Danio rerio: one gene and its partner. The protein of the gene in region 2 interacts with the protein of the main gene of each other region in a biochemical or structural test. Links are inferred from orthologs where the notes say so. Each region holds a gene or a part of one and is shown on either strand. Other genes may lie near its edges.

Evidence for each region.
Region 1: the proteins of top1a (region 2) and ncl form a complex in vitro, tested with the Homo sapiens proteins (2 studies listed by BioGRID and IntAct). The link is inferred for Danio rerio from reciprocal best matches to the Homo sapiens genes TOP1 and NCL.

Annotation. Positions count from the first base shown.
Region 1 is NC_133197.1:38,758,514-38,762,828, forward strand, and holds the start of ncl (nucleolin), read right to left. Parts: upstream 3,058-4,315; 5' UTR 2,924-3,057; coding exon 2,906-2,923; intron 144-2,905; coding exon 39-143; intron 1-38. UniProt on the Homo sapiens protein: Nucleolin is the major nucleolar protein of growing eukaryotic cells. It is found associated with intranucleolar chromatin and pre-ribosomal particles. It induces chromatin decondensation by binding to histone H1.
Region 2 is NC_133186.1:27,367,246-27,371,511, reverse strand, and holds the start of top1a (DNA topoisomerase I, like), read right to left. Parts: upstream 2,913-4,266; 5' UTR 2,793-2,912; coding exon 2,760-2,792; intron 2,367-2,759; coding exon 2,342-2,366; intron 1-2,341. UniProt on the Homo sapiens protein: Releases the supercoiling and torsional tension of DNA introduced during the DNA replication and transcription by transiently cleaving and rejoining one strand of the DNA duplex.

The DNA of each region.
Region 1 (4,315 bases), on a different chromosome or scaffold from region 2:
GGAAAAAAATAAAGCGCATTATTTGTCAGCCTCCTCACCTCTTCTTCCTCATCGTCATCACTGTCCTCCTCGCTGGATTCCTCTTCCACTTCTTTAGGAGGTGGAGGTGCCTTTTTCTTCGGCGGCGCATCTTTTTTAGCTGCCTGTAACAAACAAGCAATGAAAATATTAATTTAAATGTTGATTTGTGCGATTAGAAATTGATTTAGCAACTAGACAGTCAAAGCTTTGCACATTTAGTCAACAGAAACCTCAAATGGTTTCAGTTTCAGTTTCAGTCCTGCGGTGCAAGAAAGATTTAACAGATTGTTTTAGCACTTGTGCATGTATTAAACACGAGTTCCACCCTTTATAAATTAGCTAGATGCCATTATGCAGAAATGACAGCATATAGTTTAAGCTTCAATCAATGACACATTCAATCTTGATGCATTCGAACGCTTTCACTTCAGCATTTGTTTGGAGATCATGAGGTGTGGCTACTCTTGTTTAGGCTATATAAAGCTTTAAAAGTGCAATAAATTTAATACATCTGTATGCTCAGCGTTCATACTTCATAAACAGTCATAGCTGAAACCATATTGCATTGAATTAGAAACTTACAATTGGTAAAGCTGACAAGAATACAAAATTCTGAATGTCACCATGTTTATAGCATGATCCATTATTAATCTTTTCACACTTGAAATCTCAAATGTCATTATATATATATTAATGAAAAAAAAAACCCTACATGAATTTTTATACAAATGTTCACTTAAATCAGTGACAATTATTCTGATTTAATGCACTACGATGTAGAATATGTACTTAATGTCCCACACTCAGAGCAAATGTCAAGTCTTACTAGCCGATTGAGTGAGCACACTTTCGTTCTGCCCAATCAGAACTTTTCAATCTGCCTCTTATCGGTCTCATTAATTTGCGGAGTGTACTTTCACAATTATTATATTATTGTAAGTATAATAACAAGGTGTCTACAAGTTCCAGCAAGTCAAATTTAAGACCAATTCAGACTTGCACAAGGCTAAACACTAAAGATTTTTTAATGGCCAAGTTAAAACCATATCATTAAAAACAAATGTTTTTGCAAAGATAAATAAAACCATATTAATATGCAAATAGTGTAAATGATGTTTTTTTTAAACTTATGAAATATAATGTTAGTTATTAGACGGGTGCTGTCCTGATTGGGTATAGCTTTACAGAGGAAAATTAAGACCAGTTTAAAATTAAGACCTACAACACAATAGTGCAGCGGATTAAAGACTTTAAGGCCTAAAATTCATATATATTTAATTTTAAAACTTTACAATTCTGCAGATACCTTAAATAAGCTACATCATCTCCTTACTTTGAGCTGATGCACAAAAAGGAAAGGTAATTTTTTTTATCTTACTGTTTGCTCAAGCGAAAAATGATTTCAATTTCTGAATATTTAACAACTAATTTGAATAAATGGTGAAATTAATATTATTAATATATAATAACATATATAATAATAATCATATCTATGCAGTGAAACAGACTGAGCTGAATCTTGACTCAAATCAAAAAAATCTGTCAAAACAAAAATTGCAATCAAGACATTTTCTCCAAATCGCACATCCCCCTTAGCTCTTGCAGTTAGGGCTATGAAAGGGTCAAATAAACTAAACATCTAGGGGGGGAAAAAAAAAAGTACACCCAAGTTGTCTCAAGACAGACATAGTTGACCAATGAAAGGTCTTAACCATCCTCAAATGTTGACTTGTGTACATTTAACAAGACTTGGCATTCATTAAGTTCACAGGTAACTTGTGCATGTTTAAAACACAAACACAATCTTGCATAAACAAGCGTAAGATTTCGCATAAAAATCTGAATTCTCATCTAAAACTTTTCATCTTTAGTATTAATACATTTATAAGACAAATGTGCAAAAAAAAAAAAAAAAAAAAAAAAAAAGATAAATACAAGACTGGCACAACACCAATTAAAATATTTAGATTGGTTCCTAAAATCCAACATTTTTACCTTTCAATCACTAAAGGTGTAACACGTGTTATTGGAGATTTTGCATATAATTCATTCGTGGTACAACCTTTTAAAATTTGACTATTAAGTGCATGACTTAATGTAAATAATGTACTTATACAAATAATAAACTAAAATAAAATTATGACTGTTAATGAATATTTCTTAAGTATGGATCTGTAACAAAGTACTCAAAAAGTAAAGTACTGCTCGCGAAACTCCCCGCGTGGATCATCCCACGTGGGTTGAACGTAACACGTGGAAAACACACGTTAACCCTACAGCGAAGTAGAAATAACGTAATTAAATTAAATTTCGTGCCGCATTTACATACTTGACTCATATAAACAGTGAAACACGAGTTAAAACGCAATTGTGTTTAGTGCACGGTCTTATACGTGTTAAATGCCCCCACATTCACTACAGAGAGCCAAAATGGAGGCGTTTAGCATTTAGCTACTTTCCACGCATGGCGAACAAATGCCTTGGAGCTAAATCCACGACACATTAACACCTCCCCAGGGTTTATTAATCAACGCAATTTGTTTTTACAACATCACAAAACGAGTCTTCTTAAAATTCACCACGCATGTTCATCATGCGTGTTTGTTGAGGCCTGCAAATGCAGAAGCGTGGTCGGCCATGTTACCTTCACAAACAGGAAAAGCAGAAAACACACGCTAGCTCATTTTAGCCGTCAATACTGATCCTTAAATAAGTATTTGAATATTTAACCTTACATTCCGACGAATATTATATATGTTAAACTAAATATAACTCACACACATGGGCCTTCTCGCCAAATGTAAAAATAAAAACAGGAAAATACGCATTTTGAGATCCGTGCTGCATTTAAAGCGACAATAACGGATTGACGGTAATATCTTACCTTAGCGAGCTTTACCATGACTGAGGGCTGTTTTTACAGTAAAGCTGATAACTGAAAGAGAGAGATGGTAAGAACCGTTCAGTCACACGTGTTTCTCTCTACAGGACAGAAAAGAGCGCTCGATACGCTTTTAGTACGTCCTGAAAAACCCCGCCCACTACACCCATGACGTTTACCATATGCGCGTTCACGAAGCTCAATGTGAACCGAGTCGCTGCTGTTCAGACTCGTTATCTCCATTCGGTTCTTTTGAACAGTTTTTTTCTGATTTTTTTGCGCTCATTGAACAGTATGAATGAATGAATGAATGAATGAATGAATGAATGAATGAACTAGAAATTTAAAGTTCGTAGACAAACTTGGTCTCTTGAGAAAGCCGAGTCTGAAAGTGTGAAGTTTAAATAACTGAAGTGTTTTAAGTTTGAAACAGTTATCAAAAGATTAGCATGTTTCCAATATAGTTTGGTATGTTGCTAGGGGTTCTCAGTGGTTGCTATGCAGTTGGCAAGGCATTGCAACTCAGTTGTTTGGTTGTTCTGATTGGTTGCTAAGGTGTTGCTAGCCAGTTGTTAGGGTGTTCTGAGTGGTTGCTAAGGTGTTAATAAGTAGTTGCTAAGGCATTGCTAGGCGGTTGCTAAGGTGTTGCCTGGGACTTCTGAGTTGTTGCTAAGGCATTACTAGGAAGTTGTTAGGGTGTTCCAGGTGGTTTCTAAGACGTTGCTAGGTGGTTGCTTATGTGTTCTGAGTGGTTGCTAAGGTTTTGCTAGGCGGTAGCTAAGGTGTTTCTAGGCAGTTGCTAGGGTGTTCTAGGTGGTTACTAAGATGTTGCTAGTCGGTTGATGTGTTCTGAGTGGTTGCTAAGGAGGTGTTAGGTGGTTGCTATAGATGATCTAGCTCGTTGCTTATGTGTTGCTAGGTGGTTGCTAGCATGCTCTGATTGGTTGCTAGGCCGTTGCTAAGGTGTTGCCTGGGAATTCTGAGTGGTTGCTAAAGCATTGCCATATATATATATGTGTGTGTGTGTGTGTGTGTCATTGCAAGGCATTGCTAGGTGGTTGCTAGGGTGTTTCAGGTGTTTCAGGTGGTTACTAAGATGTTGCTAGCAGTTGCTAGGTCATTTCTAAGGTGTTGCTAGGTGGTTGCTAAGGTGTTTTGAGTGGTTGCTAGGTGGTTGCTAAGGTGTTCTGAGTATGTTTCAAGTATGATTAGTATATATTGGTATGTCATTACCATATATATATATATATATATATATATATATATATATATATATATATATATATATATATATATATATATATATATATATGTGTGTGTGTCTGTGTGTGTGTGTGTGTGTGTGTGTGTGTGTGTGTGTGTGTGTGTGTGTGTGTGTGTGTGTGTGTGTGTGTGTGTCATTGCAAGGCATGT
Region 2 (4,266 bases):
CAAAGAAACAATTTTCACGCTGTGTCACCGTTTATTAAATAGTCTAATTTTATTTGTGACAGACACTGATTTACTTTTTTTTTATCTCCCTATAGTGACAACCACAGTGGCATGGTGTGAACAGGCAGTTCATGTATTAGCACAGCAATGGTTAAATGCTCATAAACGCTCTGGAGGAAAGCAGAATATTCACCAGAAGCATCATGCTCAGAGTAAGAAATGGGGATGAAGGGAGCGGAGAAAAGGGTAAAATAAGATTTGAAATAAAAATATTTCATGAGATTACATGCATAATTATTGTAGGTTTTATTTTTATTTTGGAAACTCTGTGGCACTTTTAAAACACTGAAGCAGAAATAATTTGCCAACTCTCATATTTCCCAGTTGGCCAAAAAATTAATTATCAAAGTGCAACAAAACAGCATAATGGCTGGCTGTCAAGTTCAGCTGTGATTTTGCTTGGTAAAAAAGGAGCGAAGGAAGAAAAATATATTTGAACTTCCATTATTGTTTTTAATATCGATTTGAGTATATATAAAAAAACTACTACTAACAATATATAATAGACAGTGACCAAAATGTTACTAATGGCCTAAAAAAAAAGGAAATGAATTTATAGATTACACACTTGATTATCAGTTCTTGTGTCACAGAGAACTAAAATGTTACTAGGGCTGCGCAATATATCGTTTCAGCACCAATATCACAATGTGCTAATACTCAATATTCACATCTCAAGACATGCAATGTTGAGTCTGGATTATAGTTAACCGAGTGGCTACAGAATTGTATTTAATTACTGTATTTATACAGAATTCTTACTTTTTTTTTTTTACACATAAATTTCAACACAAAAACAAGATTTTACTTGTTTGTTAAGATTTTATCCACTGAGAGAATTTAGCTTTAAAAACTTTTTTTTTAATAAATTAAAATTTTAAAATAAAACTATATTTTTACTTGAACTGAAAAGGTTTTGCTATTTGGACTAGAAATGAGACGAACCAAAGGAAGAAAAGCATTTTTTTGCATTGTGATAATTCAATTTCTGTACGTGAATACTGTTAGACTCCCCAGAAAACCAGCAAATAGAGCTCTTCAAACCAATATTTAATTGCAGAACCATAAAATATCACAATATCAGGTTTTTTCAATATTGGGTAGGCCTAGATGTTATCAATACACAATCAATACTCCTTTACGGTTAACAGATAATGCAGTTAGATCATGTGATCAAATGCAAGCACTACATTCTTAAATTTCTTCTCATTAACATAAAAACAACTAAACTGATCATAATGCATTAAATAATATACAAGTATTAAAATCTTTTAAACTGAAAATGTATAAAAAAAGGTCAAGTATTTTTCATTTTATTGTTTCATTGCCACCTCGGGTTTACAAGAACTTGTTATAGTAAAGTTATGGACCTAAAACGTTAACAGACATTTGGTGCATGGACAAAAGAAATGTGTCAGGTGTTAAAGTACTTTAGTTAATGCCATGGCAAGTTAAAACTATATAGAAAATGTTTTATTATAAGTTTTATGTAAAAACAAACAATTTATAATTGTGTAAATTGACAATTTATGTCTCTGAATGACCATGTTTTGAACCTGCATGACCCAACTGATCTGACCAATGACACTGTGAAATCAGGTTTAGGACCAATGAAATCCCTCATTAGCGGTTCGTTTAAGTTTACTAAATCTGGATGCAATTTTTAATTTTTTTTACGCATATTTAATTACAGCACACATCAAGACAAAAAAAACGTGCATCATAGCCAATTCCTGAATAATTACTTACTGATTTGATTTGTGAACATTTGTTTTATTTCATCACATTTTATCGATTTAAGATGTATTTGAGGTCGACATGTTTATTTTGGTGAGAGGATTCAGAACAGGTCACCCACGTTTCTCAATCCTTCGCCTCCATAATCACGTCGATGTGCACTTAACGTTCACTACACTCAGACCGCTAGACAGAGAAAAAGAAAATGGCGCAGAGACTAAGTCCTCAACCCCCAAAACCTCACTTTCACAAGCCTCGTTTGCTTATTGTCCATCTTCCAAAAACGCTCAAACGACGCCAACTGACAAATAATCTCTTTCTCTTTCGAAAGAGACATTTTTTGTTGGTTTTGAAGCATTGTAAAAGCGTTTTAAAAGGGCTCAATGTGAACAATAGGCGCTTGTCAGTGAGCGAGAGGGGACTTAGTCTCTGGGACGCCATTTCTGTCCTTAAAACTAACTGGTCGTCAAGCAAGCGTTAGAGGTTTAAAACGTATGAAATTGTATTTTAATCACAACGTGGCGATTAGACGAATCCCACTCACCATTATGTCTGGATCCCGAGTCGATCTGCGGAAAAACAGTGGTGTACAGTTAATGTTAAATCGTGCCATGTCAATAGGCTGCTAACTTTCAACTTGATGCTAGTCGGCGGTTAGCGCTCAAGCTAACAAGCCTGTTCATACAACAACGTTTAAATACCACCGCTGCGAGGGACAGAAGAGCATACAAAGTTTGTATTCCCAAAATGAAGTCTTTGATAGGGGACATTATTAAAAGTAAAGCCGCGAGTGATAGAAAATACTCCATTAACACAATCAAAGCCGACTTCCACTGTCTGTTAGCTTAGCATGCTGGTGGAAAACTGCCGCTGCGGATGGAATTTAAACAGCCGAGCTAGTGACTACAAAGCATCAAGAAAGAAAAAAGATAACTGACAACCACAAAGCACAAACACTTTACCTGGGAATCGTTGTGGGAATGGTCCCCACTCATTTTTATGGGTCTTGTTTTTAAAATAACACAGTTAAAAGCCTGTTAATATAAAATGCCGGCGAGGAGCTGTGGGCAGAATGAAGAAAGACACAGTTGTGTAACAGACCAAGCCCGAATTTCAAACCACTGCGCATGTCAGACGCGTTTAAAAGGATAAAAAGGCGTTTTTCCTGGCCTTGACTCCGCCCACACTGTGTTCGCGCACGGCTCCCCTCTGTGACGTCACTCCAGACTTACTATGGAGCCACGTGGTGCCAGTAAAGAGAGATTTGAAACAGTTATAACAACGATTATTACAATAAATAATCATTATTATAACAACAACCGAAATAAAAGTAGTCTAAGTAATAATGGTAATACAGTAACAATATGTTTAACATTTGATATAATAATATCCACATGTGAAAGTGTACTATCACAAAAAATTCCAGTCAATCTTTTGACAGACACTTGTTTAAAACCATTTACTGATGAGAACAATAAGTAATCAAAGACAAAGATTTTCAGTCTTTAAAAGACCCTCATATATGATCATTCTTGTGCTAGGGACTCCAATGCGAATGTAGGCTATAATATGAAATCCTTCTGCTTTTGTAATATAAGACACTTTTTAAATATTAAATATTGTGGGTATAAAATATTAATTGCATAATATAATAATGACTAATTAAAATAATACAATAAATAGTATTGAAAATAAATATTTGTTTATATATTTTAATTACATGGTTTTTGTTATTTATTTGTTTCTTTTATACTAAAAGACCTTGCATGACCAAAGACCACCTTTTGTGCTAAATCATCCTTAAAGTTCAACTAAAAAAGACACTATGAAAGACCTGAGAGTAAATTAAAAGCCCATTTTAACTTTTGGCTGAGGTGAACTGTTTGTTTTATTCCTAAAAATGTTGCTTTAAGTCATATTAACTAACGCAGTATAAATTGTAACATTTTATACTGAACTAATAGAGTAACAACATAAACAATCTTATTTATGACTAAATGGAGTTCAAAGGAGAATACAGTGAAGCTGCACCTGCCCTCACCTTGATTTGCTCGTAGAAGACTTGTGCGTTGTCCTCTATCTGTGTCAAGAGACAGTTTTCACATTTTAAAAGTGAACATTTACAACATTTAATCCTATCATTTAATTTCAGGTGGGGTTTTTAGCTCAGCAATAAAACAAAGAAACAAAAGACTACGTTCAATTCAAAATGACGATCTCTGTCCAAAGCATCCGCCCCACCACCTCCCCATCATTCTCCCTCTCTATTCAGATGGTATGGCGAGCCAAATCAAAGGTTACCATGGGCCAACTTTGGCCCGTGGGCCCTACTTTGGGCATCTCTGACTTATGGCTTTAACAGCTTTAATTGTCAAACCTGTAACTAACAGTAATCATTTTACCAGGTGGGACAATGTGTGTATTTTCATTTAAACAGATGACTGATTGAAGTGTTTCTTTTAACGACTA